Cricetulus griseus: one gene and its partners. The protein of the gene in region 4 interacts with the protein of the main gene of each other region in a pairwise test. Links are inferred from orthologs where the notes say so. Each region holds a gene or a part of one and is shown on either strand. Other genes may lie near its edges.

Evidence for each region.
Region 1: the proteins of Tfip11 (region 4) and Zgpat interact in binary tests that used the Homo sapiens proteins (3 or more experiments, as listed by UniProt). The two-hybrid records come from large-scale screens. The link is inferred for Cricetulus griseus from reciprocal best matches to the Homo sapiens genes TFIP11 and ZGPAT.
Region 2: the proteins of Tfip11 (region 4) and Disc1 interact in binary tests that used the Homo sapiens proteins (3 or more experiments, as listed by UniProt). The link is inferred for Cricetulus griseus from reciprocal best matches to the Homo sapiens genes TFIP11 and DISC1.
Region 3: the proteins of Tfip11 (region 4) and Armcx1 interact in binary tests that used the Homo sapiens proteins (3 or more experiments, as listed by UniProt). The two-hybrid records come from large-scale screens. The link is inferred for Cricetulus griseus from reciprocal best matches to the Homo sapiens genes TFIP11 and ARMCX1.
Region 5: the proteins of Tfip11 (region 4) and Ccdc42 interact in binary tests that used the Homo sapiens proteins (3 or more experiments, as listed by UniProt). The two-hybrid records come from large-scale screens. The link is inferred for Cricetulus griseus from reciprocal best matches to the Homo sapiens genes TFIP11 and CCDC42.
Region 6: the proteins of Tfip11 (region 4) and Gem interact in binary tests that used the Homo sapiens proteins (3 or more experiments, as listed by UniProt). The two-hybrid records come from large-scale screens. The link is inferred for Cricetulus griseus from reciprocal best matches to the Homo sapiens genes TFIP11 and GEM.
Region 7: the proteins of Tfip11 (region 4) and cytochrome c oxidase subunit 5B, mitochondrial interact in binary tests that used the Homo sapiens proteins (3 or more experiments, as listed by UniProt). The two-hybrid records come from large-scale screens. The link is inferred for Cricetulus griseus from reciprocal best matches to the Homo sapiens genes TFIP11 and COX5B.

What each region holds. Positions count from the first base shown.
Region 1 is NC_048599.1:523,034-526,202, forward strand, and holds the end of Zgpat (zinc finger CCCH-type with G patch domain-containing protein), read right to left. Parts: intron 2,968-3,169; coding exon 2,834-2,967; intron 2,615-2,833; coding exon 2,459-2,614; intron 1,717-2,458; coding exon 1,597-1,716; intron 1,509-1,596; coding exon 1,103-1,508; intron 909-1,102; coding exon 770-908; 3' UTR 501-769; downstream 1-500. UniProt on the Homo sapiens protein: Transcription repressor that specifically binds the 5'-GGAG[GA]A[GA]A-3' consensus sequence. Represses transcription by recruiting the chromatin multiprotein complex NuRD to target promoters.
Region 2 is NC_048596.1:201,987,762-201,991,261, reverse strand, and holds part of Disc1 (disrupted in schizophrenia 1 protein), read right to left. Parts: intron 3,216-3,500; coding exon 2,942-3,215; intron 1-2,941. UniProt on the Homo sapiens protein: Involved in the regulation of multiple aspects of embryonic and adult neurogenesis. Required for neural progenitor proliferation in the ventrical/subventrical zone during embryonic brain development and in the adult dentate gyrus of the hippocampus.
Region 3 is NC_048604.1:45,377,433-45,381,419, forward strand, and holds the start of Armcx1 (armadillo repeat-containing X-linked protein 1), read right to left. Parts: upstream 2,801-3,987; 5' UTR 2,638-2,800; intron 1,993-2,637; exon of another isoform or gene 1,866-1,992; intron 1,760-1,865; 5' UTR 1,676-1,759; exon of another isoform or gene 1,672-1,675; intron 896-1,671; 5' UTR 846-895; exon of another isoform or gene 800-845; intron 534-799; 5' UTR 403-533; coding exon 1-402. UniProt on the Homo sapiens protein: Regulates mitochondrial transport during axon regeneration. Increases the proportion of motile mitochondria by recruiting stationary mitochondria into the motile pool. Enhances mitochondria movement and neurite growth in both adult axons and embryonic neurons.
Region 4 is NC_048597.1:92,004,157-92,007,656, reverse strand, and holds part of Tfip11 (tuftelin-interacting protein 11), read right to left. Parts: intron 2,514-3,500; coding exon 2,360-2,513; intron 2,093-2,359; coding exon 1,936-2,092; intron 1,000-1,935; coding exon 872-999; intron 199-871; coding exon 46-198; intron 1-45. UniProt on the Homo sapiens protein: Involved in pre-mRNA splicing, specifically in spliceosome disassembly during late-stage splicing events. Intron turnover seems to proceed through reactions in two lariat-intron associated complexes termed Intron Large (IL) and Intron Small (IS).
Region 5 is NC_048600.1:82,480,016-82,483,515, reverse strand, and holds part of Ccdc42 (coiled-coil domain-containing protein 42), read right to left. Parts: intron 2,246-3,500; coding exon 2,048-2,245; intron 1-2,047. UniProt on the Homo sapiens protein: Essential for male fertility. Required for sperm development.
Region 6 is NC_048595.1:125,845,786-125,849,285, forward strand, and holds part of Gem (GTP-binding protein GEM), read left to right. Parts: intron 1-394; coding exon 395-471; intron 472-1,241; coding exon 1,242-1,446; intron 1,447-2,855; coding exon 2,856-3,133; 3' UTR 3,134-3,500. UniProt on the Homo sapiens protein: Could be a regulatory protein, possibly participating in receptor-mediated signal transduction at the plasma membrane. Has guanine nucleotide-binding activity but undetectable intrinsic GTPase activity.
Region 7 is NW_023276807.1:11,509,191-11,513,119, forward strand, and holds cytochrome c oxidase subunit 5B, mitochondrial, read right to left. Parts: upstream 2,541-3,929; 5' UTR 2,487-2,540; coding exon 2,384-2,486; intron 1,843-2,383; coding exon 1,769-1,842; intron 1,600-1,768; coding exon 1,500-1,599; intron 693-1,499; coding exon 580-692; 3' UTR 501-579; downstream 1-500. UniProt on the Homo sapiens protein: Component of the cytochrome c oxidase, the last enzyme in the mitochondrial electron transport chain which drives oxidative phosphorylation.

The DNA of each region.
Region 1 (3,169 bases), on a different chromosome or scaffold from region 4:
ATAGCTCTTGCGCAGTTGCTCCCAGTCTCCGCTCACCGCCTCACATCTCATCATGGTTATTTGCCATCAATAGGCAATTACCACAAAACTAACACAAAACTCCACCCCAATGTGGCAGATACTCATGAATGAGGTGGACAGAGCAGGTCAACTGGATGGATTATCAGTGGCAACTGAAAACCAGAAATGAACCCCAAACTCACTTGAGTCAGGCCTGCCTGCTTTCATCACTGATGGAGTTCCCAACAGTGTTTCTATTTCATATACCCTACCTGCTTATGAGTACTGGGCACTGAAGAGCTACCCTAAGATCTTACCCACTTGGTCAGAGAAGGGAGAAGAGGGAAGATGCTCCTTTTTTGGACTCTTGGGCCTTGAACAGAGGCAGTGGCCTCATTTGGGACCTTCCCACCCCCAGTCCACCTGTCTGTCGCAAGGACCTACACAGATCCATTTGTCCCCAGAGATCCTGAAGACAGTTGAGTCTCCAGTGAGAGAAATTGTGATGAAATCACTTTAATGTCCTAAGGAGCTACCCCAAGACACTGGTAGATGGGCTTGGTGGGCAAATAAATGTTCAAAATCAACCCTGACACCCCATGTCTACTCAGTAGTATTCATACACGTTAGGCTGACAAGGCTGAACAAGGGACAGCCTTGGAATGGGCTGAACCCTCTTCCAGGTTCAAGTGTCAGGGTGCCAGCCGTCTTTCTGCCAACGCAGTTTGGAGTTGGTCCCAGGGCTCTGTCCACAATATAGGCAGGGCTGCTAAAACTCTGTCATCTTCCTGTGGGTATCTGCCTTCCGCTGCTCCCTCTGTAGGCCAGCTTCTTGAGCACGCAGCTGACCCAGTTTCCGCTGGGCTCCCTCCAGCTTCTCCTGCAGATGGGCTGTTGCCATGCTGTGCCTAGGGAGAGCCTGCTGGTCAGCATTATCTCCTGGCTCCCCACTACCAGGCCCCCAGATGCTGTGGCCAATGCCCATTCTCCAATATTCAGACCACTTCAGACTCAGGGGCTACTGAGATCGGTGACCTTTAGCAGGTACCCTGCGGGCACAGCCACTGGAGCCCATACTGCCTCAGCTGGACCCCACACATACCGGCCAGCATTCCGGGTTAGGGCCTCCTGGATGCCCCGGATGTCCCGTTGGGTCCGCTCAATCTTCTCCTCAGTCTGGAAGAGCTGCAGACTCAGAGCCTGCTTGGCACTTTTGCTGGCATGATACATGTCCTTGTTCCTTTTCCCTGGAGTGTCCACCCCAGCATCTGGGGTCTCAGGCGCCTGGCTTTGCAGTTTTTCATTCAGAAAGTCAAACACATTCCGAGGGGGTGGGCGGCCCTCGGGTCTACCACCACTCCTCCGACATCTTGGAGGCCTATTGGTCCCAGCCTGGCCTCCCTTTGTCTTCTTCTGTAGTATCTCTGTGCACTGGTCCAGTGATTTCCCTCTAGGCAACACTACGGCATGGATGGGCTCCACTCGGCCTTCTGCATGCCGACCCAAACCTGGGAAAGACAGGGCCTTGTGCTGCCTCTGCCAGACTCTTAGGCTATCATGAGGCAACCCTCCCATCTCAGGGCAGCACACACTCACCCTTGCCAAACTCATAGCCCATCTTGACTAGGAGTTTGGAGCCAATGCCTCGTGTATGTACCTCCCAACCAGCAAAGGCAGAACTGCAGGTTCCGGTGTCCACGGTGTTTGGTTCCACCACTGCAGGAGACAGAGGACTCCAAGTAGTGGGTTCTAGCCAACACTACCCAAGAACTCAGGCCCTAGGTAGGGCCTGATCTCCTGGATTTCTGGTCCCCTCAGGTTCCCCAAACATGCTGTGGGCACTCCTGGCAACTCTACCTTGAGAGATAGCTGTGTGGTAACCAACTTGACTGCTTTAGCTTACTATCTGCCACCATGGATAGGAGCTCAGAAACTACCAACTCACATCACAGGTTCCCTGATACTCCTTCCTGTCTTCATCCTAACCAATCTCTCAGGAGGATTATATATTACCTAATTTCCTGAACTCTCTATTTTACCTAGACACATTTTCCATCTGCAGAGATCTCTTCTCCCCTACCTACCAGGCACCCAAGCTCTAAATCTGGGAAGCCATCTGAAGAAGCCAACCTTTCCTATGTTCTACATTCAGTTACTTCCTGTGACTCCTTGGCAGACCTAGCACCAACATTCCATTCTGACAGTGAGGTGCTATCTTGCTTCAGGGAGTTCTGACTCTTACATATGATTGTTGTGTCTGTTTCTTAAAGGCAAAAGCTAGGTCTTAGGTCTTACCCAGGCCCATCACACACACTCTGGTCCTTTGGGCCCTCTCCTGTAGATTACTGTGCTAAGCTTCTCACCACATCACTTGTTCTACAATTATCCTGACAGCTGGGTGCCTGTCTAGGTCTATTCCCTGACCAGCCTGGCTTCTGGGTACTGATTTCTGCCATACCTCTGGCATAGCTGGAGTCACTTGCATCACCACTGTCTGAGTCAGATGACTCTGTAGCCTCTGTGCGCAGAGGAGGCAGGATGCTGTCTCCCTCTACCACAGCCTCCTTCAGCAGCAGTGAGTCAAATTTAACAGTATAGTAGCCATTGTCCACATCTAGGGTGACAGAGACAGGCTGTAGGTTAGCAGCAACCAGTTAGGAGCAAAATGAGAGACAGGAAGGGAGGGGGCTTGGGGCAAAGACAGACTTGCTCCTCTTGGGCCCAGATGACGTCAAAGCTCAACCCAGAGGAGGTAGAGAATGGCTTTAAGGAAAAAAAAAAAAGGATGTTTCAAAAAGGGTCCCACCAGGTAGGCCCTTGTAGGCAATCTCACCGGTGATCCGTGCTGGGTGCCAAAGGCCATCCTGGTGCTTGGCCAGACAAGCAGAGCCAGTCTGCAGTAAGCTCAAGTCTGGATCCTGGAAAGGGCGCAGCTCATCCACAGAGACCACCTGCCCATGGGAGAACCTGTAGATGTAACCACAGGAGGCAGTGGCTTAGACATGGCCCACTAGGAGCATGTAAGCCCAGAATCACAGAGACCATCAACAGGGCACTGCCTATAATGGAGTGAAATTCAAGAACCCAAGACAGGCACACCAGCAAAAACATCTACACTTTCATACCTATGGGTTTATGGACACATTTCTCTCTCACACACATACATTCA
Region 2 (3,500 bases), on a different chromosome or scaffold from region 4:
AAGGCTTTGAAACCATCTCCCTGTGGACCTCTGTAAGAAGCCCTCGATTTGTCATGGAAGATTTGGATTGAAAAGCAATTGCCTGCCCCCAGGGTGTCATGCTTCAATAGGAAAACCAGTGTGTGTGTGGGGGGGGGGGTAGCCTGGCCCAGCAGCGCCTTGCAAAGCCAAATACACCTGGAGCTGCAAAGCAAAGGGACATTTTGCCTCAAGATAAACACATCATCCCTCCCCAGACTTCAATAGCCCCTGAAAAGCAAGACAGGAAGACAAAACCACCTTCACCAGGAGACCCCCAAGTATCACACCTCTGAGGCTTAGTGGTCTAAAATCTCCCAGCAAACACAAGCAAGCTTTCCCCTTTATAGCCTGCCTCTCCTTAGGCATCTCTCTCATTCACTGCTCACTTTCTCCTCCTGACAATGCCAGCAAAGTAGATTATCAAAGGGTGTTTTAGGTGTTGTGACCTCCAGAACACCAGAGATACAGAAATTAACACTAGCCAGGCTTTACCACGTGTACAGGCACTACAACTAACAAGACAAAAGAGATGGCCCAATGTGATGTAGCCTGCCCTGGTCATACATGCCTCCCATGACAGGCTGAGGTCTCTGAAATAGTGAGCCAAAGACATTCTCTCCTCTCTTGTTTCTGTCAGGCATTTGGTCATGGTAACAGGAAGGGTAATTAATGCCACTAAAAACTTAGTTCTGATTATTCTCTCTTGATTTTTGCGGCCATTGTTACTTTTGTATGTGTCTGTGTAGGTAAGTATGTGTGTGTGAGTTTGTATGTGCATGCATGGTGACAAGGGTGTGCACAGGTATTTGTGTTTGCACAGGGAGACTATTCTTGTGTGTGTATGTGCATATGGAGTCCAGAAGCCAACTTCAGATGTCAGTCCTTGTTTTTTTGAGACAGGGTCTCTTACTGCACTGAGGTTCACCAATTTGGCAGGCTGGCAAAGTCAGTGATACTCCTGTGTCTACATCCATGGTGCTGGGCTTATAAGCTTATACTACCTTGCCCAGCCTTTTATGTGGGTGCTGGGAATTTAACTCAAGTTCTCATGCTTACACAGCAAACACTCTACCCATTGAACCATCCCTCCAGCCCACGTTGTTGCTGGTGTTGAGTCAGTGGATGAGAAGATGCAGCCTCCCAGCAGCAGAAATGGAACCTGAACTCCAAGCTGAGCCCTCTCCTCCCCTGAGCTCTCAGAGTCTTGAGGTAAGTCCCCCTGTTTCATATACAGCCCTGTTTTAAGCAGGCAGACATTGCATTAAGCTTTTAGTCAGTTCTGAAAAGTTATGTGCAATTTTTTCCACTGTAAAGCCATGATTCAGATGGCTACATATATATACATAGTGGTTCCACCACAAGACAGAAAACACATCTGTCACTACTCCCAGATTCTTTCTTCCCAGCTTCCAGGCAATGAGACCTGCTCTCCAGTCCCATCATTTTTGCCTTTCCCAAAAAATATCTATCATCTTAAGATCTATGGTATTTGTGAATTCAAAGAATGCCGGTTCAATGTTCCTGGACCCCTCTGTGCATACCTAAGACTACAGACAGCATCAAACCTAAGTAGAACAATTTTTCATATGTATACCTATCTGTGACAAAGCCTGATTTATAAATTAGACATGGTCAGAGATTAGCAGCAACACGTGTTTTAAAGTAAAACAAATATAACAAAATACTGCCATCTCACCTTTAAGATGTTCTGTTGGCTTCAGGCTCCTGAAATAGGCTCAGGGTTTGCTATGACCTTCCCAGTAAAATGTTGGCTCCATGAGAAGCTGTTAAGTATTTGGGAAACTATGTTGCAATTCCAGAGAGAATATTGGGTATTGAAGGAGTTCTCCTTAAAGCCTACCCAGCCGAGGCTAGCAGGGACCCAGAGAGACTATGATACTACTCATCTTCCCATGGGGACATGTGTTCAAATACAAGCACAGCCAGTCCTCAGACAGCACAGACACAGTGACCGGTTGTTATGCTGAACACAGGGCACAGGGTCTGTAATGTCACGACTCTAGTCCTAATCAGGAGCAGGAGACCCTGCAGGTTGGCTAGGGTGCTTTCCCCACCCACTCTCCCATCTCATTGAATTTTGGCAAAGACAAAGGAAGGGGTGCAATGGGATTTGAAAAGTCAAGGTGAGGGCATGAGTCAGGCAGCAGCTATAGCCAACTTCTTCCCTTACAGAACATATGGGACCTGACGGAATACCCAGAAACCACCAAATAAGGAACTTGGAAGCCTCAGAGGGAAGACATGTACCCAAGGAACCCCTCTGGACTTCAGGCAGGAGCAGAATGGAAAGCTGGGAAAGTGGGGTGAGGGAGCTTTCTCCACTTGTCAGGGTCAGGCCCTGATTTTAAAAATTAAGTAATATCATGTTCTAATGGAAATGTACACATCAGGCCAAACAACAGGGCTCTCTGCTCTTTGTTTTGCTTTGATTTCATGAAAAAAAATGAACCACAAACATTCATCATGATCTGTTTTTGGTGAAAATGACACCATGTATTAGAATTCAAACATTAGAATGTTTGAATTCATAAATGATATAATCTATAGGCTCTAGAAATACAATTGAATATATATGATATACAGTCTGTATAACAACCTATGTTATATAAGATGCATAGTGCATACTACATATGATTCTATATGAACTTCCTTATTCTAGAATGAATTAGAACAATGGGGCCCTCTAAACTAGAATTAAAAAGAAAGCTAATGTTCTAAGCTTTTCTCTTTGCTCGTCTATGTTTTAAGCTTCAAAAAGCTATACACTATTTTGTTATCGTATTCAAGAGTTGTATGAATTTTGGGAACTTTGTGAGGGTCTATGGCAACCCCCCTCCAGTTCTGTTTGTTCTCATCGCCACATGGACCCCTGAAAAAGTCACGCATACATAGGACAAACCTCTTTCTGTTGGCCTCCAGCACAGTGTGGTAAGGGGGTTGAGTGAATGCTCCATGCATTGAGCACCTGCAAGGGGGTCTTCTCCTCTTCTGGGTGTGGTCTGGGATGGGCAGTCAGGGTGGCTGTCCAGGTGGCCTCTCCTATGCTGTCCATCTGCTTCTCACCTTCTGCATGTGGGTTGATGCCTGCTTCCTGGAGCCGCAGACTCTGCATCAGCAGCTGACAAGCCTCCAAGTCGGCTTTCCACACTCTTGCAAGCAGTGGACACCTGCAGCTAAGACAGAGGGAAGCAGGCATGGAAATTAGCCCAGCAATGGCTCATGCTACCCATGGACAGTATGTTAGTATCAGGGGGTCATCTTACACTCCATGACATCATTTTATAGAGACAAAACTTCAACCTGGAGACATAGAGGGACCAAAATCTGTGTGTCTCTAGTCACAGTGATATCCACGTGGGTCCTTCTTAGCTGTCTGGTCAGCAAGGACACCCAGAATCCCATTTGCTCTTCCAAGAACAGTTACCCAGTACATCTGGCCCTATACTCCTGCTGGATCT
Region 3 (3,987 bases), on a different chromosome or scaffold from region 4:
CCTGATCCCTCTGCCTGCCTTTGCACTTGCCTGTTCCTTTAGGATCTTGAAAAGGGCTTTAGCCTTAGCTTCTAGGCCACCTTCACCCTGGGATTCTGGGTGTGCTTCGATCTTTACACCTGGATCATTTTCCTGCCCCACCTTTACATCAGCCTTGGGCTTTGAGTCATCCTGAGGTCCAGCCCCCACACCAACATTAGTCTTAACTCCTTTCTCAGTTTTGCCCCCAGTTTCTGGTTTGTCACTACAAGACTCTTCCTCCTCCTCTTCCTCCTCTTCTTCATCATCCCACAGTTTCTCATTCTCATCTTTTCCCCAGGTCAGTCTGTATACACAGTAGCAGGCACCAGCCCCGATGACCATGCCTGCAGCCACACATCCAGCTTCGCGAGTGCGGCCCATGGTACAGGTGGGGTGAATCCCTTAACCTGGACACAAAGCTGGCTTGCTCTGGTCCAGAGTACTCCCAAGTCAGGGACAAAGTCTTCAGCTCTTGTAGGTAGGAGCAGCTAACACAGCAGATACAGTGAGACCTAGAAGAAGGAAAAGCTTTCAGACTTTCAACTTCTCCAGTTGTGCCTTTGTACATATATAGACTGAATCACTTGCCCACAAACATATAAATGTACAGAGATATTGGCTAGCATTTAGAACTTGGTATCCTCATCATTATTCCTTTCCTTTATCTGGAAGCAATTTTGGAAGTTTGCTAAACACCCAGATTCTCCAACCTTACGTTTTTCCACCCATTCCAAGAATGTTAAATTGAATAGATTTATATGTTGCCTATGATCTTTACCCTTCCAGATGTCCTGAATCAGGGTCACAGGGTTACCCTTACATACACCCTCAGAGATCCAAGTAGTCCCTTGTTCCTTTCCAGACTCTTGAAGATCTGCAAACAAAAACAATACAGAGGTCTGATCTGAGAATTCAAGAACCAGATAAATCACACCCAAAAGGATAGAGATAGAGATAGAGATAGAGATAGAGATAGAGATAGATATCCATCTTCTGAATTTCCAGGCCCTTGCCCTTCACTGCAGTGTTTCTTACCTTCTATTACCTTCCTCACTGCAGGGACATGGCATTGTCTCCCTTCCCCTCCTCCTTGGAAGATCAGTTTCCTGCCCTGCCCCACTTACCCTATTTGTCACTTCTTCCAAAGGTGATACTACATACCCTAACTTGTGAAGAAATGGACAGCAGTGCCTAGAAATCAGATAGACATTATCCGCACTTGCTTCTAACACCCTGACTATCTTAAACACATCCTCTCAGTCTATTGAACAATTGTATCATTTTTCACTGCCCTGTGAAATTTCTTTCCTCCCTCATCTCAGTTCCTAACTTCACAAACTTAAGGACTAACAGACTGGGTGCCTATTAGACTAACACCAAGGACACTGCACCATACAGGATTTTAGAATAATGCCATCCCCATTTCCAACCCAGCATTCTCTATGGATATCCCCACCTAACCATCTCCTTCCGGGTTTCTTATCTGCAAAGTGCTTCCTTTTGCAAGCTCAGGAACAAAGTAAAGTGGGGATGCAGAGAAACAACATAAAACAAAAACCAAAAGAAAAAAAAAACCACGGAACCAGGGATGCAGAGAAAGTCTGAGTCCAAGGACCCCCCCCCAAACAGTGTCATCACGCTTCCTCTGACCTACTTAATTCAGGAAATTTTTCCTCCTTCCCCTGCTCCTCCTCCGTTTGGACTGGTCTTCAGTAGCAAGATCCACAGATACAGGCGCCTAAGCAGAGACAAAACACAAAACTTAGACCATCTAAATGCCGACTTTCCCAAATCTGGGAACCTGGTTGGTCAGACGGATTTCATGATTTTACTTCTCACCCTACCCCCAGTTCTCTGGACTCTGCTGACACCCCGCGGCACTATATCACTACATCCTGGCACTCCTTTCTGCGGTGGTCGGCCATTTTCCCAGCAAAAACCACACCCCTTTGGAAGCGCAGGGCTGGAGGCGGGCCCAGCGAGTACGGAAAACTCGAGCTGTGGAATATGACAGATCTCTTCTGTTCTCCCCCAATCCAGCCCACCCCCAAAGACAGCCATTTTTTTCTGTAGAATTGTGAGAACTGTCCTTTTTTCCTGGGGCGGGACAGGGGAGAACAGACACGTAGTTTGCTAAAGATTCAATAATGGCCTAGAGTTATGATAAAGCCCTAAGCCATCACCACCCATTTGCCGGCCTGTAGCAATCTCAGCTTTAGACTGACTGACATGCAGAAATTCGATGACGATTATTCCTTTGCTCCAAAAGGTACTGCACTCTACTGATGAATGACAGAGGATAAGAGTCTCACTGCCTCAAAATCCTGTCCTCGAAGGTGGATTCATGCACCAAACCATAATACCTGCCCTTCCCGATTCTAGGTCCGGACATGCCAAAGACTCCCCGCCCCCCAAACCTAATCTGGGGTCTCCCCTGGAATCTCTCCCTCCAATGTTTTTTGTTTTTGTTGTTGTTGTTGTTCTAAGAGGGTCCGAAGACATTGCAAGTGCATGAAGAGAGCAGGCTGGCAACTCTGCTACAGCGCTACCGACAAGACAGTGATCCCCCGGCATCCCCCTTCCACAACACAGACCTGCTGGGACCCAGGCAATTACCTTCTCCTCCTGCTTCAGCAGCAGGCCTGCCCGCAGTCAACAATAACACAGAGAGAGCAAACACCGATCGTAGCATTAGAACAACGTCTGCACACGTCGGCTTCGGCTCACGTGAGGGTCACGTCACCAGTGAGATCAGGACTCCACTACACTCCCGCCAACACTGCGACAGGAGGCAGCCTTTCCCCTTCCTTCCTGGCCACACCAGATTCGGCTATTCATTTCCTCTTTGTTAGTCCCCAAACCAGAAGGAGCTTCTTTTGTGGTTGGGATTTGCCTTTCTATGGTTAACGCAGAGGCTGCATTGGCCTTTTCTTCCTCTTTTAGGAATAATCCTGGCTTTTCTTTATTCCCACCCCTAGGTGCTCGTCCCTTCTCCCCCTTCTCTTTCAGCTGGGAAAGTCCAGCATTTCCCCTGCACTCCTATACCAAACAGGATTTTAGAAAAAGGGACACAGAGTAAAATTGGTTTTGTTAAATTTTCTGCCCACTTGTTAAAAATCAGCTTTGCTTTTACATTAAGGATATAAAATTTATGTTTTATAACATTTATAATTTGTTGGAGAAAAATCCAAGTAGAAGAGGAAAACCGAGTGGGCCTTACTAATTGCAATATATATGCATTTATCGCACAAAATATTTCTACTGATTGCAGAAAAATAGTTGCTTTCAAAATGCACCAATTAATTTGTTTTTAAAATTGAAAACTGGATTTTTTGCCATGATTTATGAATACGTTAAGAAAAGACAGCCAGTTGTCTGATTTGGACCATTTTATACAAACCGCTCTTTTTTTTTTTTTTCCCTACTTTTGCCTCAACTTGCAACTTGGTGAAATAAAAGCAACATTATCAATCCTAACTTATTTAATTAAGGTAAAACATGTATTTAAGAACCCAGAGTCTTTATTGATTGCTACAGGGAAGATTTAGTGGCTCTAAACACCTGCCCCTGGATTAGATTCGAGTCTACTAAAGCTGAGACAGCTGAGAGTGAGAGAAGATGGGATGGTCCCATTCTCTGTGCCCTACCAAGAAGTGAGGAATGTGCCACCGTGCATTCCAGAGCCTCTCGTTCCCTGTATCCAGGCAGCTGTTTGTCGCTCAGTCCAACCACACATACACACACACACATACAACTATGGGTAACCAAAATAATATATACCACCTTTATTCAGATAACAAGTAAATATCTTTGGTTCCTTCATGCCTTCCTCAAATTCCCAAGACGTATCTCTTGCGTAGAAGAGCTTCCTATTTCCACCTACCTCTCTGGCCTTGTTCGTGGTGCTCATGATCCTGCTGCTGCTATCAGTACCTGAGAACATCCTTGCCAACAGTTGTTTCTGTC
Region 4 (3,500 bases):
AAAGTCTTCAGAGGATGGACGGGGACCAATGTGCCGTCCTCATACCTTGACCTGAGACAGCTCCTTCTGAGGTGCTGTGAGCTTCTTGCTGACCCTGCCCTTGGCTTTCAGCTCCTCCACAGTCTTATAGGAGTACTTGGGCTTCTTCTTGCTCCCGCTGGGGTCTTTCCTCCACTGGCTCAGCTCCTTCTGAAACTCCTGGAGCAGAGGGAGGCAGAGAACGTCAATAGCAGGGGCCTCCTCCACAGCAAGCAGCCAGGACAAGGCCCTTAGCAAGCCCGTAGCCACCAAGCACCACTTCTCAACACCCATCCGTGTACAGTACAAGGGTTGAGATGCCAAGGCAGGGTCCTCAAGGGAAGGGCGCAGCTCTGCCAGTCCTCACTAACTTAGGCAGAGCTTAGAAAGCACTCGCCCCCACCTGGCCGACCTCCACAGAAAATGGTGAGCAGAGGATACTATGCGTGAGGACACACCCACCCTACAAGTCAGTTCCATGACTGCCGTTTTATTTCTCACCCTGCTCTAACCTGTCATTCTTTGAACTATCTGGAGTTGCAGCTGTTCAGAAATAATGGCACCTAGTCCCATATAGGGCTGTTTCTTAGCTGAGCAGAGCCTACACTGCAGTCAGACCACCATACGGAGGCATGTCTCAGGTCCCACCCTGCCTACTGTCTTACAGCAGGCCCCTTACACACACCTAAGCCTATGATGGCATGATGCCATTGGCTGCACACTGAGCCCCTAGTAGGGCCTGCCACATAAGCAGGTGTGTGGTGACACCCAAAGGCCATCAGAATGCATAACCCATGAATTGCAGCTGTCTGTAATGGCCCAAGCCACACCCACACGGCTGCCTTCTCATTACCTCTTCAGCCTCTTCTTCTGAGTCAGCCACAGGGAAGTCCTGCAGAGACTGAGTGGTTCGCTCTGAGCCGTAGGCTCCCACGGCTCCTTTGCCTTTTCTCTGTTTGGCCTCAATGGGATTGATGATTCCTGAGCAAGGACAGGTGGAAGACAGAAAGACTTCAGATCGCGGGAACCCATGTGAAGACACAACTGAGTGGACACTTCCTGCTCCTCAGCTCACAGCACACTGCTACTTACAACAGCACAGCAGCACCTTCCTTGTGCTCAGGACAGTGTCACGCTCTGGGGACTTGAGGAGTGACATCACAGATGCTCTGCCACTCTCTTCCCAGTACAAGCTTGGCACTAGCTGAAATGACTATGGGTGGCCCTGGGTATTAATTACACTGGACCCAGTTCCTGCTGGAAAAGGCCAAGTTCTTGTTCCTCATGGCCAAGGTGATGAGCTGTGCGTGCCCGGGACTCTTTCTCAGTGGGGCTGGTGTATGTGGGAAACAACATGGTCTGGTCAGCCAGCAGCAGGCACATCTTTAGTAGGTGAAGGCTGCCATGCTGCACACTGACAACAAAGGTAGGGACCACCGAAGCAGGGACTACAGAGCTGAGCCTTCAGAGCCCAAGCAGGCTCACACACATGATCACTTGGCGGGCCACAGGGAGCTGAGGACATTGCTTTATAAGACCTCACACAGCCCAGAGGAAGCTGTGAAGCTAACAAACTCCTGCCAGGCAAACTCTATAGAGTTCTTGGTGAAATAGTCTGACTTGCAAATATTATCAGTTATGTACAGCCACTCTAGACCCTACCGCTTTCCTTCCTACTTAAGGAAGCGCTTTACTGAACCTGGATTCTGGAAAAGCTGGGCAGCTGGAGAGCACAAGTGGCCCATGCTGCCAAATCCAGCTGCAAAGTTAACAGCTGTTTTGTTTGGGTTTGAGTTTAAGCATCCTTCCCAGGACCTGATCCGCAGAGATCACCCCATACTTGACGGGCTTCCTAAAGGGAAGAGGCAGACGAGGCATCCCTCTACCAAACTCCTCTTGGGCCACAGCCTCACTCACCCTGTGCATTCTTCCCCAGGCCCCGCCCAGGGACGTAGCCCATCTTCTGTAGCAGCTTCTGCCCGATGCCCTTTGTGTGTCTCTCCCAGCTGCCAAAGTCCATGAACGACTTGGTTCCTCCAGCAAAGCCTTTCTGGCTGGGCTTAAAATTGCCACCCTGCAAAGAAGGCCTGATGAGCATGGGTGAGAAAGAAACACAGAATAAAAGGGAGAATGCCAATGAGAGAGAGAACAGCCTGCAGCCAGTGTGCTATGAAAAGCTGTGTGTAGACCGAAACCACATCAGGGACACAGACCAGGAAAGAGACTCAGGACCTATGGGGGTAGCATACACAGTTGCCCACTGGGCTTCTCTCTGCCAAAGAAGTTGCTGCACTGATGACCTCTGACTGTTGCCACTTAGAGACTATCCTGTGAGACCTACCGTTTTTAACTTCTTTGGTCCTAAGTCCTTTGGAAAGTCCTCCTGCTTCGCAGGCTTTTCATCATCATCAGAATCATCAGAGTCCGCTTCTTCAGCTGCCCCTTTCTTGAGCCCTGCGCTGATGAAGTTGACCGGTGCAGAATAGTCTCGGGCCCTGTAAACAGACACAAATCCCCCAAGGCTAGAAAACACCTCTGCAGCACCCTGTCCTCACAGAGAGAACTTCTTAGAGAGAGGGGCCTCGTGGGATCCACTTTAAACCATAATATGTTTATTATGCCCAAATGCCAAAAGGGACTCAAAACTGACCTCCAATAATCTTATGTTTAGCATATTAAAAATTATAATATCTTGCCAGGCAGTGGTGATACATGCCTTTAATCCCAGCACTCGGGAGGCAGAGGCAGGTGGATATCTGTGAGTCTGAGGCCAGCCTGGTTTACACAGTGAGTGCCAGGATAGGCTCCCAGAGTTGATTATAAATTAAAAAGATGATGTAATAACCTTACTTCCCTTTGACACTTTTTTTTTTTACTTTTGGTTTTTCGAGACAGGGTGTCTCTGTGACTTTGGAGGCTGTCCTGGAATTAGCGCTTGTAGAGCAGGCTGGTCTTGAACTCACAGAGATCCTCCTGTCTCTGCCTCCTGAGTGCTGGGATTAAAGGTGTGTGCCACCACTGCCCCACTACCTTTGACACCTTTTTTTTTTTTAAAGATTTATTTATTTATTTATTTATTATGTATACAGTGTTCTGTCTGCATGTGTCCCTGCAGACCAGAAGAAGGCGCCAGATCTCATTTTGGATGGTTGTGAGCCACCATATGCTTGCTGGGAATTGAACTCAGGACCTTTGGAAGAGCAGCCAGTGCTCTTAACCTCTGAGCCATCTCTCCAGCCCTCCCTTTGACACTTTTAAAAATGTGCACGATGAGGGCACATGTGCCTCGCAAGCATGTGAAGGTCAGAGGGCAACTTTGTGGGGTGGGTCTTCCTTTTCACTTCTTATGTAGGATCTGGTGATAGAACTCCGATAGCCAGGCTTGTGTGGCAGTGGTAAGCAGCTTTACTTGCTGAGCCATCCCACTGCCCCCCCCCCTTTACAATTGAAAAGAATGTTTTTAGCTTTTAGAGTGGTAAAGC
Region 5 (3,500 bases), on a different chromosome or scaffold from region 4:
CTGAAAGTACTATTGACTAAGATTATGGGCAGTTGAAAGAAAAGAAGAATTTTTAATATTCTGTACAGTGTGGTAGGGTAACTATGATTGACAATAATGAATTGTAGATTTCAAAACAGTACAGAGGATCTGAATATCCCCAACAAAAAGGAAGCCATAGATGTTTGAGGTGATGGATATGTCAGTTACCCCAACGTGATCACTATGAAGTGCACACACACACACACACACACACACACACACACACACACACACACCTCAGTATATCCTACAAACATATACAATCATTATGTATCATTTAAAAATATTATTTTAAGAAATCATACTCCTGGACAGATGATTGTTAAAAGTTAAAAGTCAGCAGCCAAAAGCACTAGCTGCTCTGGCAGAAACTGGCTTCAGTTCCCAGCACCTGCATGGTAACTCACAACCATCTTAACTCCAGTCCTGGGGGCTCCAGTGTCCTCTTTAGATCTCAGAGGGCACCAGAAATGCATGTGGTGCGCAAGCGTACATGTAGGTTGAAGCATTCATATGCACAAAATAAATAAAAATAAATCTAAAAGACAAGAGTTTAAGAATGGAAGAGAAATCATCCATTGGGAAAAAAAGGCTAAGACATAGAAGGATATGTATAATATAATGCATAGTTTATGGATAGCTGATAGTCACAAAATAGAGACATGCATGAAAATGAGCAATTTAAAAACTATGATACTGGTGACCCCTGAAGAGAGGAAGACTGAAATTTGGATGGACATATAAGGGGTTTAAATTACCAGTAATGTTTTATTTCAGAAAAAAGAAGAGAGAAAAAAAGAAAAGAAAAGAATTGAGGAAAAATTAAGATTATACAAAGCTGTGTGTTGAGTTCTCTATGTTTAGAGTGTTAAGTTTTTCTCTATGCTTTCCAGTGTGGGGGGTGGGATGAGAGGAGGAGAAGAAACAGGAGGTGGAGAAAGAGAAAGAGGAGGGAGGAGAAGACTGTAGAATGCAAAAGAGCAAAGGGCAGAGGTAACACCAGATGAAGCACACAGCGTGAGGAAAGAGGAAGGGGCAGGGGTTAGATTCCAGAAATACCTAAGAGGCAGAATAGACCATATCTGATTGATGGTTACAGGGCATGGGGTAAGGAGGAAGCACAGTTATGGCTGTACTGTGGCAAGTCTGAGGCAGAGTCAGTCTTGCTAAAGGAAAAACTTGGGAAGAGGAGGCCCCAGAGGAGCCTGGGAAGGAGGGAGCAGAATATAAGACCCAAGGAGATGTCAGAGGAGCAATGCCCAACATCAAATGTTGCAAGAGGTGCTGCCAGAAGAGGGCTAAAAATGTCCTGAGCTGGGGTGACAGGGCCTGCAAAGACAGGGGGCGGGACACCTATGGCCCAGAGGGGTCCTCAGTAGAGTGGGGAAAATAACAAGCCATGCCATTTCCAAGCTGTGAGATCCTGAGCAGGTGCCTTAACCTTCCTGAGCCTCTATCTCCCCATAAAGGGATGGTCTGTTTATTCTTCCCAGTGGTTGGTGACAGAAAGAAGGCTGACTGTATAAACTCCTAATCAGCCTGCATGAAGTCCTAAGTGCCCAGGTCCTCGGAGGGGAGGTGTTTTCATATTTTTCCTCTCCTCCCCAACCACCTTCTCTCTCTCTCTCTCTCTCTCTCTCTCTCTCTCTCTCTCTCTCTCTCTCTCTCTCTCTCTCTCCCCTCTCTCTCTCTCTCTCTCCTCTCTCTCTCTCTCTCTCTCTCTCTCTCTCTCACACACACACACACACACACACACACACACACAGACTCAGACATACACAGATGCATATGTAAACACTCATTTCACATATAGCTTTGCACAGATAAACCATCAGGTCCTCCTACCCATTGAGGGATCTTGGCCGTCTGTCCCCCAGGGTTGCTGCCTCTCCCCAAAGCAAGATAACCATTCCAAGGGCCCCTAAACCCTAGCCATCTGGAGCTGAGCTATATTCTGCTAACTTGGAAAGAGAAAAGGGTGCTGTGGAGGGCCCTGTAGTGCAACACCCCCAGCCAGGGGACCCACCTCAGAGTTCTCCACCACCTTCTCTAGGTACTTGTTGAAGATGGCGTAGTCCTGAAGCTTGACACACAGCCTCTGGTGCTCCAGCCTCAGAGCATTCATCTCCTGCTTGGCCTTGGCCAGCTCCCGCAGGCGCTGCCTTTTCAGTTCTCGCTCTTTGTTGGCTTTTTTCAGGGCTCGGATCCGCTTCTGGTCATTCTCCTGCAATGAGGGAGGCAACAGAAATCAAACAAGCCTCACCCTCTCTCCCTGAGACCCTGGCCTACCTGGGACTGGCGACACCCTAAACCCCCTCTATTTGCTGAACTCAGACCACTGGAAGGGAGGGCAGAGCTTGCCTGGCTGCCCATGTTGGAAAGGAGGCATGAAGGAAGAATTTTGTGAGACTTTGGTTATTTGAAAGGACTTAGTTAAGCTAAGAGACTTCTGTGGCCTGAGGAGGCTGTGAGTGCAGAAATTCAGTTTAAGGTCAAGAAGGAGTCTGGTGGGGGCATGCAAGCAGGAAATTCAGATGCTGTGGGAGTTGGTCCCTAGGCTTCAGAGAGTGGGGGCTGGGAAGAGAACACACAGAAAGGAGGGTAGAGGAAGATCTCTTGAAAGACCCCTGAAGAGGTACTTTCGTAGGAGGAGACCCGTACCCAGGAATCAGCGAGACCACGAACTTGGATGCAAACTGCAAGAGGCTTTATTAGCGGCACGGGTACCCGGGGCGGCTTAGCTTCTGTTGGGCCAAGCGCGCCGAGCCAAGGGAGAGGGGTCCTTATATAGCAGAAAGCGCAATACAGAAGCGAGAAGCAGAGATTCTATTGGATAATTCAAATGAGGCGCAGTACAGTGTTATTCCTATTGGTCAATTTAAATGAGGCGCTATATAGGGTTATTCAAATGAGGTGAAGTATAGAGTTATTCAAATGAGGCAAAGTACAGAGTCATTTCTATTGGATGGTTCAAATGAGGCACAGAGCCATTCCAGACCAGCATATTCTCAAGGTCTGGTGTCTGGTACAACAGACTCAATTTCCCTCCCTCCAGATGGCTGACCTTGGGGGCGGAGACCTTGGGACGGAGTGTTCCCCATCGGGCGGGGGCGCGGGGGCAGGGCCCCAGGCCGGCCCACCTGGTGCTCGCCCTCGGCCGGCCCACCTGGTGCTCGCCCTCGGGCCGGCCCACCTGGTGCTCGCCCTCTGGCCGGGCGTGCGTCAGCGGGGGAAGTGGAGGCCGGTGGGGGTGGGGATGGGGAAGCCGCCGACTGGAGGAGGAGGCAAACTTGAGAAAGAAAGGGCTAAGGGGCAGGGGTCTTTCACTCTCTTGCATCCAATGAGGCTGAGGAAGGCTGAGTGGAAGAAGGAAGTCCTTGACAAAGCTTTTGTGGTTCTGTTTTTAGTGGTGGCCATTTGTCATGGGGCAGGTGGCTCATCCAGGGTTGGGAAGCCCACATGTTCTCCTGACATAGTGC
Region 6 (3,500 bases), on a different chromosome or scaffold from region 4:
CATATGTGTAGATTTGTGTACATGTGCACATGGATACCAGAAGTCAGACTCGGGTTGTTCTTCCCGAGACAGCCATCTTGTTTTGTGAGACAGAGCCTCTGGGCTTGGAGCTAGCTGAGTTGGCTAGGCTGGCTGGCCAGTGGACCCTAAGGATATGCCTGTTTCTGCCTTCCTAAAGCAAGGGTTACAAGTGCTCACCGCCATGCTTGGCTTTGCACATGGGTTCTGAGGACTGAACTCAGTCCTTGCGCTTGCTCAGTCAGCATGTTACTTACTGAGAGATGCCTCCTCAGCCCCCACAGAACATATTTCTAGTGAGACTTTGACAGGAGCCTCTTATGCCCAAGTCTTTCTTAATCACCTGACTCTGATAGCAATGTTCTTTCTTTTCTAGAAGACACATATGAGCGCACCCTGGTCGTTGATGGTGAGAGTGCAACGATTATCCTCCTGGACATGTGGGAAAATAAGGTATGCAGGGCCTGTGGCTGCCAGTGATTTCTTTTAGGCCTTGCCTTTCAACAGGCTGCTTGGGGCCAGAGTGACCTTGTCCTACATAGTGGATGTTCCAGATGCAGTGGGCTCATTTTCTTGATTAAAAACATTTACTTCTGAAGAACGAGACTGCTGAGGAACAGGTCGTCCACAGATGAGCCCTAAAGAACAAACAAATTGCAGTGGCTTGCCCTGAGTTCTATTAAAAACCACAAGAAACGTATTTGTTTTAGGGAAAGTTCAAACAAGCATGGTCACTTATTTTCAATGACACAAAACCACTTTGTGTGAAGCTGACCTTCTCAACACTGCATTCCAGCATGGCTTTTGATGGTTCTAGGTCTCCCAGTACATATGCAAGATTGTTGGTTGATTGAGAACCCTCCTATTCTCCCAAAGGATTTGTAGTTCTGCCCTTTGGGGAAAACAAAAGGAAGCTTTTAGGGAGTCAGAAAAGTCCATTTTGGGCAGGCTAGATTGTAATCGGAAATACTGTTTGTCACAGTAGCTATGCACCATATCAGCTCAAGCTGTACTAGTAATTGGAAAATAAGTTTCTTGGGCATAAAAACAATGCAGACTGCTTTTTTTTGTCCCTAGACATCTTGGAAGACAATGCATATTGAGGTGTTGGAAGCAGTTTTCTTCCTTTCTCTTACTTGGGATAGACATGCAGTTTCTTTGCAAAATGACACCTCAATTTTCAGGCTTGCCTAAGCTCACGGGAGGTCTTCGTATTTCATTAGGGGGAGAATGAATGGCTCCAGGACCATTGCATGCAGGTTGGGGATGCCTACCTCATCGTCTACTCCATCACAGACCGAGCGAGCTTTGAGAAGGCATCTGAGCTAAGGATCCAGCTCCGCAGGGCCCGACAGACAGAAGACATTCCCATCATTTTGGTTGGCAACAAAAGTGACTTAGTGAGGTGCCGAGAAGTGTCTGTGTCAGGTGAGAGGGTGTGCAATTCTGGGCACCGCCCTTGTACTGCATACACTGGACCACAGTGGGGTTCTCTCTCCCTTTTCCAGGGCCTCAGTGGGATGCTCCATGAAGGCTTATGTCTAAGACTCCAATGGTTCCCATCAGTTTTGTTAGTCATCTCTTGTTCTCTTCATCCTCTGGTCTACCTAAAGGGTTCCAGGCTTCCCACTGCCCTTTGGGTGTTCTCCTGGAGTTACTTTAGGGAAGAGAGCATCCTCAGGAATTTACTGGCAGTCTTGACCTTTGCTTCTTAACCTTTTATTCTTCAAGCAGATTCTACATTTAGGGGAGGAAAAGTGGTGTATTAATGCAAGGATGGGGAGCTCTTGGTTAGGAGACAAAAGAAACAGTTATACTTGGGTTGTTAGTACTCCATCTAATACTCTCTAACCCCAGCCCCTCCTTCCTAAACTTCTGGGAGAGCATGATACTGTTGGGACCACACATGAGTCTCCATCCTTATTTCAAGGGTCATTCCTATTTGATGAGTGTGCCTCTGTATTCTTTTTAAGGCCCTCGAGATTATATTGGTTTAATGTAGATTGCGTAGAACCATAAAAATGAAATATGGCACTTTCAGGCCCTGCTCAGTCAAAATGATTTTTCTAGCTACTTGGACTGTCTTACTAGGACACCACAGTATTCCGTGTTTAGATCTTTTCAAACTCAAACTTGGACACATGGCTACTAAACATAATATCTGAAATCAAGAGTTTTAGAAAAGCTTGAATAGTTTGACGTTTTATATATTTATAAAATCATCATATTCCTCAAAAGATCTCATCTCATCATACTTTTCTTTTTAAAAGACAGGAAAGCTAAATAGTAAACTTGGAATTAGAGTTTTTAGTGAGGGACACTGAGTCAGGAGAAAGTGTATAAGCTTGAGCACGGAACAGGGCTGGTTGTCCTGTCACTGTCAGCTGTGTGAGTTCCTTCCCATTTTTAAACACTTCACTCAGTTTCTTCGTCTCTCCGATGATAATAATGGTATATTTTCCAAGTTTGTTCTGAGCAGTGAAAAGGCTTTGGAAAGAACTTGGCCTGCTTTTGTGAATGTAGCAAACCTTTAGGAAGTGGAGGCCAGGGCTCTTGCTGTTGTAATTAGTATCAGTGTATTTGATGAAATTTTACTTTTCCATAGTGAATTTTTGGTGAGCTGGATCTAACCGGTTTCCTGGAATCCTCTTATTGTTTATTTCTACTCTTACCCGGGGGAAGATGTGTGCCCTGGTGCCCCCCTCCTCTTACAATGCAGTCTACTGCTCTATGCTATCTCTATTGCAGTTTTGGAGAAGTGTCCTTTAGCTTGACCACACTGTGCAGGATCATACTCTGTGACCCCTCTGACTTTCTTTCCTCTTCCTCCTTTCCAGAAGGGAGAGCTTGTGCTGTGGTGTTCGACTGCAAATTCATTGAGACGTCTGCAGCCGTGCAGCACAATGTGAAGGAACTGTTTGAGGGCATCGTGAGGCAGGTCCGCCTGCGCCGGGACAGCAAGGAGAAGAACGAGAGGAGGCTGGCCTACCAGAAGAGGAGGGAGAGCATCCCCAGGAAAGCCAGGCGCTTCTGGGGCAAGATTGTGGCCAAGAACAACAAGAACATGGCCTTCAAGCTCAAGTCAAAATCCTGCCATGACCTCTCTGTTCTCTAGGCACCCAGTGTCACCCAGATGTCCCCTTGATGGACATCGTAGAAGGCCCTTGGGACCAGTGATCTATATTAGATTGAATACATAAGCATTGTTAGTGGTGGCTTCCCCTGTTGCAAATGGGAACCAACAGGTTAGCCTCATGGGCAACCAAGTGCACGGGCAAGGAATCTTTGTCAAGAGTCAGTATTTATTCATAGGAACATCTTGATTTGCTACATGGGCACCTGAGACTCATTTAAGGGCATATTTGGGGTTCACATGAGTTTTGTTTTTGCCTTCTTTGGGCAGCAGAATATTGAAGCTTATGAAGAATACCTAGAACAGGAGTGTGTCTAATCATTGAAGTGTTGCCCAGTTTTGTTCTATG
Region 7 (3,929 bases), on a different chromosome or scaffold from region 4:
ATGAGATCTAGTGTTCTCTCCTGTCCTGCGTGTGTACATGCAGGTAGAATTCTGTATACATAAGAAAAATCTTAAACAAAAACAAAAACACAAAACAAACAAACAAAACATATCAGGATCCAAGCAAGGTCCAAATATTGCCATTGCTTTCACCCTTTAAAATCTTCCTTGGTTTTTGCCCCCACCATCCTTATATAAAAAAAAAAAAAAAAAATTAAATAAAAATCTAACAGCTCTATACTGGTTTTACATTCTCAGTAGATGTCAAGCCAGTATTAAGAAACAACTGATCTCAACATAAAAAAAAAATCTATAGAAGCCGGGCAGTAGTGGTGGAGCACACCTTTGATCCTAGCACTGGGGAGGCAGAGGTAGGCAGATCTCTGTGAATTCAAGGCCAGCCTGGTCTACAGAGTGAGTGCCAGGACAGCCAAGAATACACAAAGAAACCGTGTCTACAAACAAAACAAATAAAACCTACAGAAATAAGACTAGCCACCTATGGGAGGAGCCAATACAATGGCTAGTCTTTATTAGAGATAAACTTTCCATCACATTCTGAAAAGTTAACACAGAGGCTCAGTGGACCAGTTGGTGGGGCACCAGCTTATAATGGGTTCCACAGCTGGGGCATCGCTGGACCTCGCCTTTGTGCAGCCAAAACCAGATGACAGTGCAGTTGTCCTCTTCACCTGAAAGGGAAAAGGCAGCTCAAAGTCATCCAGCTCCAGCGTACAAAGGGAGACTTACAACATTCATCTTTTCCTACAAACACTTTAGAGAAAAAACCCAAAAAAACTGTGGTTGACTTTAAGAAGTCACTTCAAGCAAACTCTGCTCTTTCAAATGAAAAAATGGGGCTGAGTTTACCTGTGAGTAAAATAACCTTGTATCAGGGTCACTGTAGGTTCTAACAATTCCATTCCCTACACAGAATCCCAAAGCAGGATCAGTACTTATTTGTATCTCTAGAGCCTAAAACAGTGCCTGGCATACAAATATATTTATATATAAAATCTGGGCTGGAGGCTGGAGAGATGGCTCAGCGGTTAAGAGCACTGACTATATTCTTCCAGAGGTCCTGAGTTCAATTCCCAGCAACCACATGGTGGCTCACAACCGACTTGAATAAGATCTGGCACAGTCTGCTGGCATGCAGGCAGAAGACTGTATACATTTAAAAAAAAAAAAAAATCTGGGCTGGAAAGATGGTTCAACATGTTTTAAGACCATAGACTGCTCTTCCAGAGAACCTGAGTTCAATTCCCAGTATCCCTATCAGATGACTCACAACCTTATTTGTAACTACAGCTCCAGGGGCATCTGACTCTAGTGGCTCTCATGCATTCTGAGGCTTGAGACAGAACACTTAGGACAATTTATACCAGTATTTTTTATGCACATATAGTCAGTCACATGCACAGATCTGAAGCAATTTACAGAGATTCTGTGTAGCAGGTCATGAACAAATGGACAGACAATAAAGGCAAGGTACTTACAGATGCAGCCCACTATTCGCTTGTTGGTGATGGAAGGGACTAAATTAGGATCTTCCTTGGTGCCTGAAGCCGCTTTTGGAGGTAGCATATTGTATGGATCCTGAAAAAGGCAAGAATTGACCAGTTACTACAGACATCCCCTGCAACTACACTGCAAAGGGGCTGTTCCTACAAGTTGGGTTTCCAGGACCAAATGCTGGCTGACTGGAGACTCCTCTGATCCCATCCAAGTCCAAGGGCTCCAGAAGACACAGGGAGTTTTTCCTTACCAGTCCCTTCTCTGCTGCTATCATGATCTCCCTCTCCAGCCCTGTAGCCTGCTCCTCATCAGTAGGAACACCACCTAAAAGAAGAAAAATGAATTATGCCAACTGATAGGACCACGATGAATACACGCTCAAATGATCAACACGGGAAAGGTGACATTGTAAGCGTCTTTGGTGGGCTCTCAAGTCACCCATTCCCACAGTCCCCTAAGCCCACTGAGTCATGACTCCCAAAGCCTTAGGGGAAGTTTCCCCCTCCAGCCGCCGAGGCTTGCTTTTCGACTTTTTCTAAAAACCAAGTAATCAATGAGAGATAGCTGGCTGGAGGTGGGCAGGGAATCTCAAAATCGGTCCAGTCTTTTCCCACCGCTCCAACAGTCCCTGTCTCTCAAGGTCACCCGGCACCTTCCAGTCAGGGCACTTTAGAATCGGGGTCAATCCTGGGCGGGGGCTGGGCGGCCGAAATTACAGCCAGACCGCTCGGAGCGCAGACTCCGGGAGCGTGAGGTGGTCAACAGGGCCCGAAGCAGCTCAATGGCCGACCCCGCTCGACCGCGCCATCACCAACCACCCCCGAGGCCCCGGACACCGGCCTGGCGCGCCCAGCTGGCCACAAACCTCCAGAAGCAAAGGAGCGTGTCGCAACCGCGCCATGGGGCCCACGAGCCCTCAGGGCCTGCGCCGCCAGAGCTCCCACTCCGCGAAGTAACCTTGAAGCCATCTCGCCCGAGACAAGCAGATGCACTTCCGGGAACGGGCTCGGCAAGATAGGCGGGACTTCCGGCGATGGGCGTCAGTCAACGACCAGTCAGCCTTCCGCTTCCTCCCCCGGCCTGCCCAGGCCGCTAAGGTAGATGCTGCGCATGAGCAGCTCTGCCTCTGCGCCCGCCGCGCAGACTCCGTCAGCCTCGGAGGCGTGGCGTCAGTCACCATGGCAGCTGGCGGCTTTCGGTTTTGCCACTGTTGCGCTTGCGTGCTCGCGCCTGTGTGTCCCGGCCACATTGACGTTCCTGTGGTGGAGGTGCTGTTGGAAGCTGAAGTCCCCCTCAGTGGGGACTTGCTGCACCACAAGTGACACAGATGGGCTTGAGCTCGGGAAGCTTTGTTTGACGTGCCTGTTAGTCGCCGGTTCGGGTCCTCAGGCAGAGCATTAGCCATCACCAATCTGTTGCGTAGTCCCACCCTGTCAGAATTTGACGGGACCTCCCCACAGTCTCGGCCTCAGTTTCCTTCCCTCCTTCCTTCCTTCCTTCCTTCCTTCCTTCCTTCCTTCCTTCCTTCCTTCCTTCCTTCCTTCCTTCCTTCCTTCCTTCCTTCTTTTTTTTTAAGGCAGGGAATCACTATGTACAATCAACCCTGACTGACCCGGAACTCGCTTGTTGATCAGACTGGTCTCGAGCTCACAGAGATCTGGCTACCCCTGCTGGGATTAAAGTATTGGCATCACCTCAATTTCCTCCTTTAACAGTGTCATTAGAAGTGATGGTGTTGGCCCCAGGGATGGATGCAGGATACCTCCTGGTGGCCACTCTGCGAAGTTATGATCAATGAGGAGGATTCTAGAAGGAGGAAGGAAGGAAAGTTAATAATGCAATTAGAAATCACAATAGTTACAGTGGACAGAGGTCTCTAATTTAAACGGAAAACACATCCCATTGCTCCCCACTGCACACTGCAGGTAAACTGTGAAAACTCATGGCAGGACGGCTAGAGGACTTTCAAACACAACTGTGCTTCCCTAATTGTGCTCCAATACCTTGTAGAGGTCTTGCATATAATAATATCAAATAATTTCTAGTAAGTCTGGCCGTTTGGACCAAATATAAAGCTTATAGGTCAATTTGAGGGCAACTACAAAGGACTAAATTCCTGGGTGTTGCCACCTGCCATGTGTAGATTATTTTCAACATTTTTATAAGTTGCATTGGTCACAGTGTCTTATCACAGCGATAAAAAGGTATCTAATATATACTTGCTTCTCACTCTCATAGATTTCCCTAAAAAGAGGAGAATTTTGTCAGGACTTGTCCAGCTCAAGAAAATCTGACCCTCATTCTGGTCACCAAGATCAGATGTGTGAAGGCTGAGAAATGGCACAGTCCATAAAATGTAACCACGGGACCCTGAGTTTGAGCTCCAGTGCCCACATAAAGCTGGGTTTGGC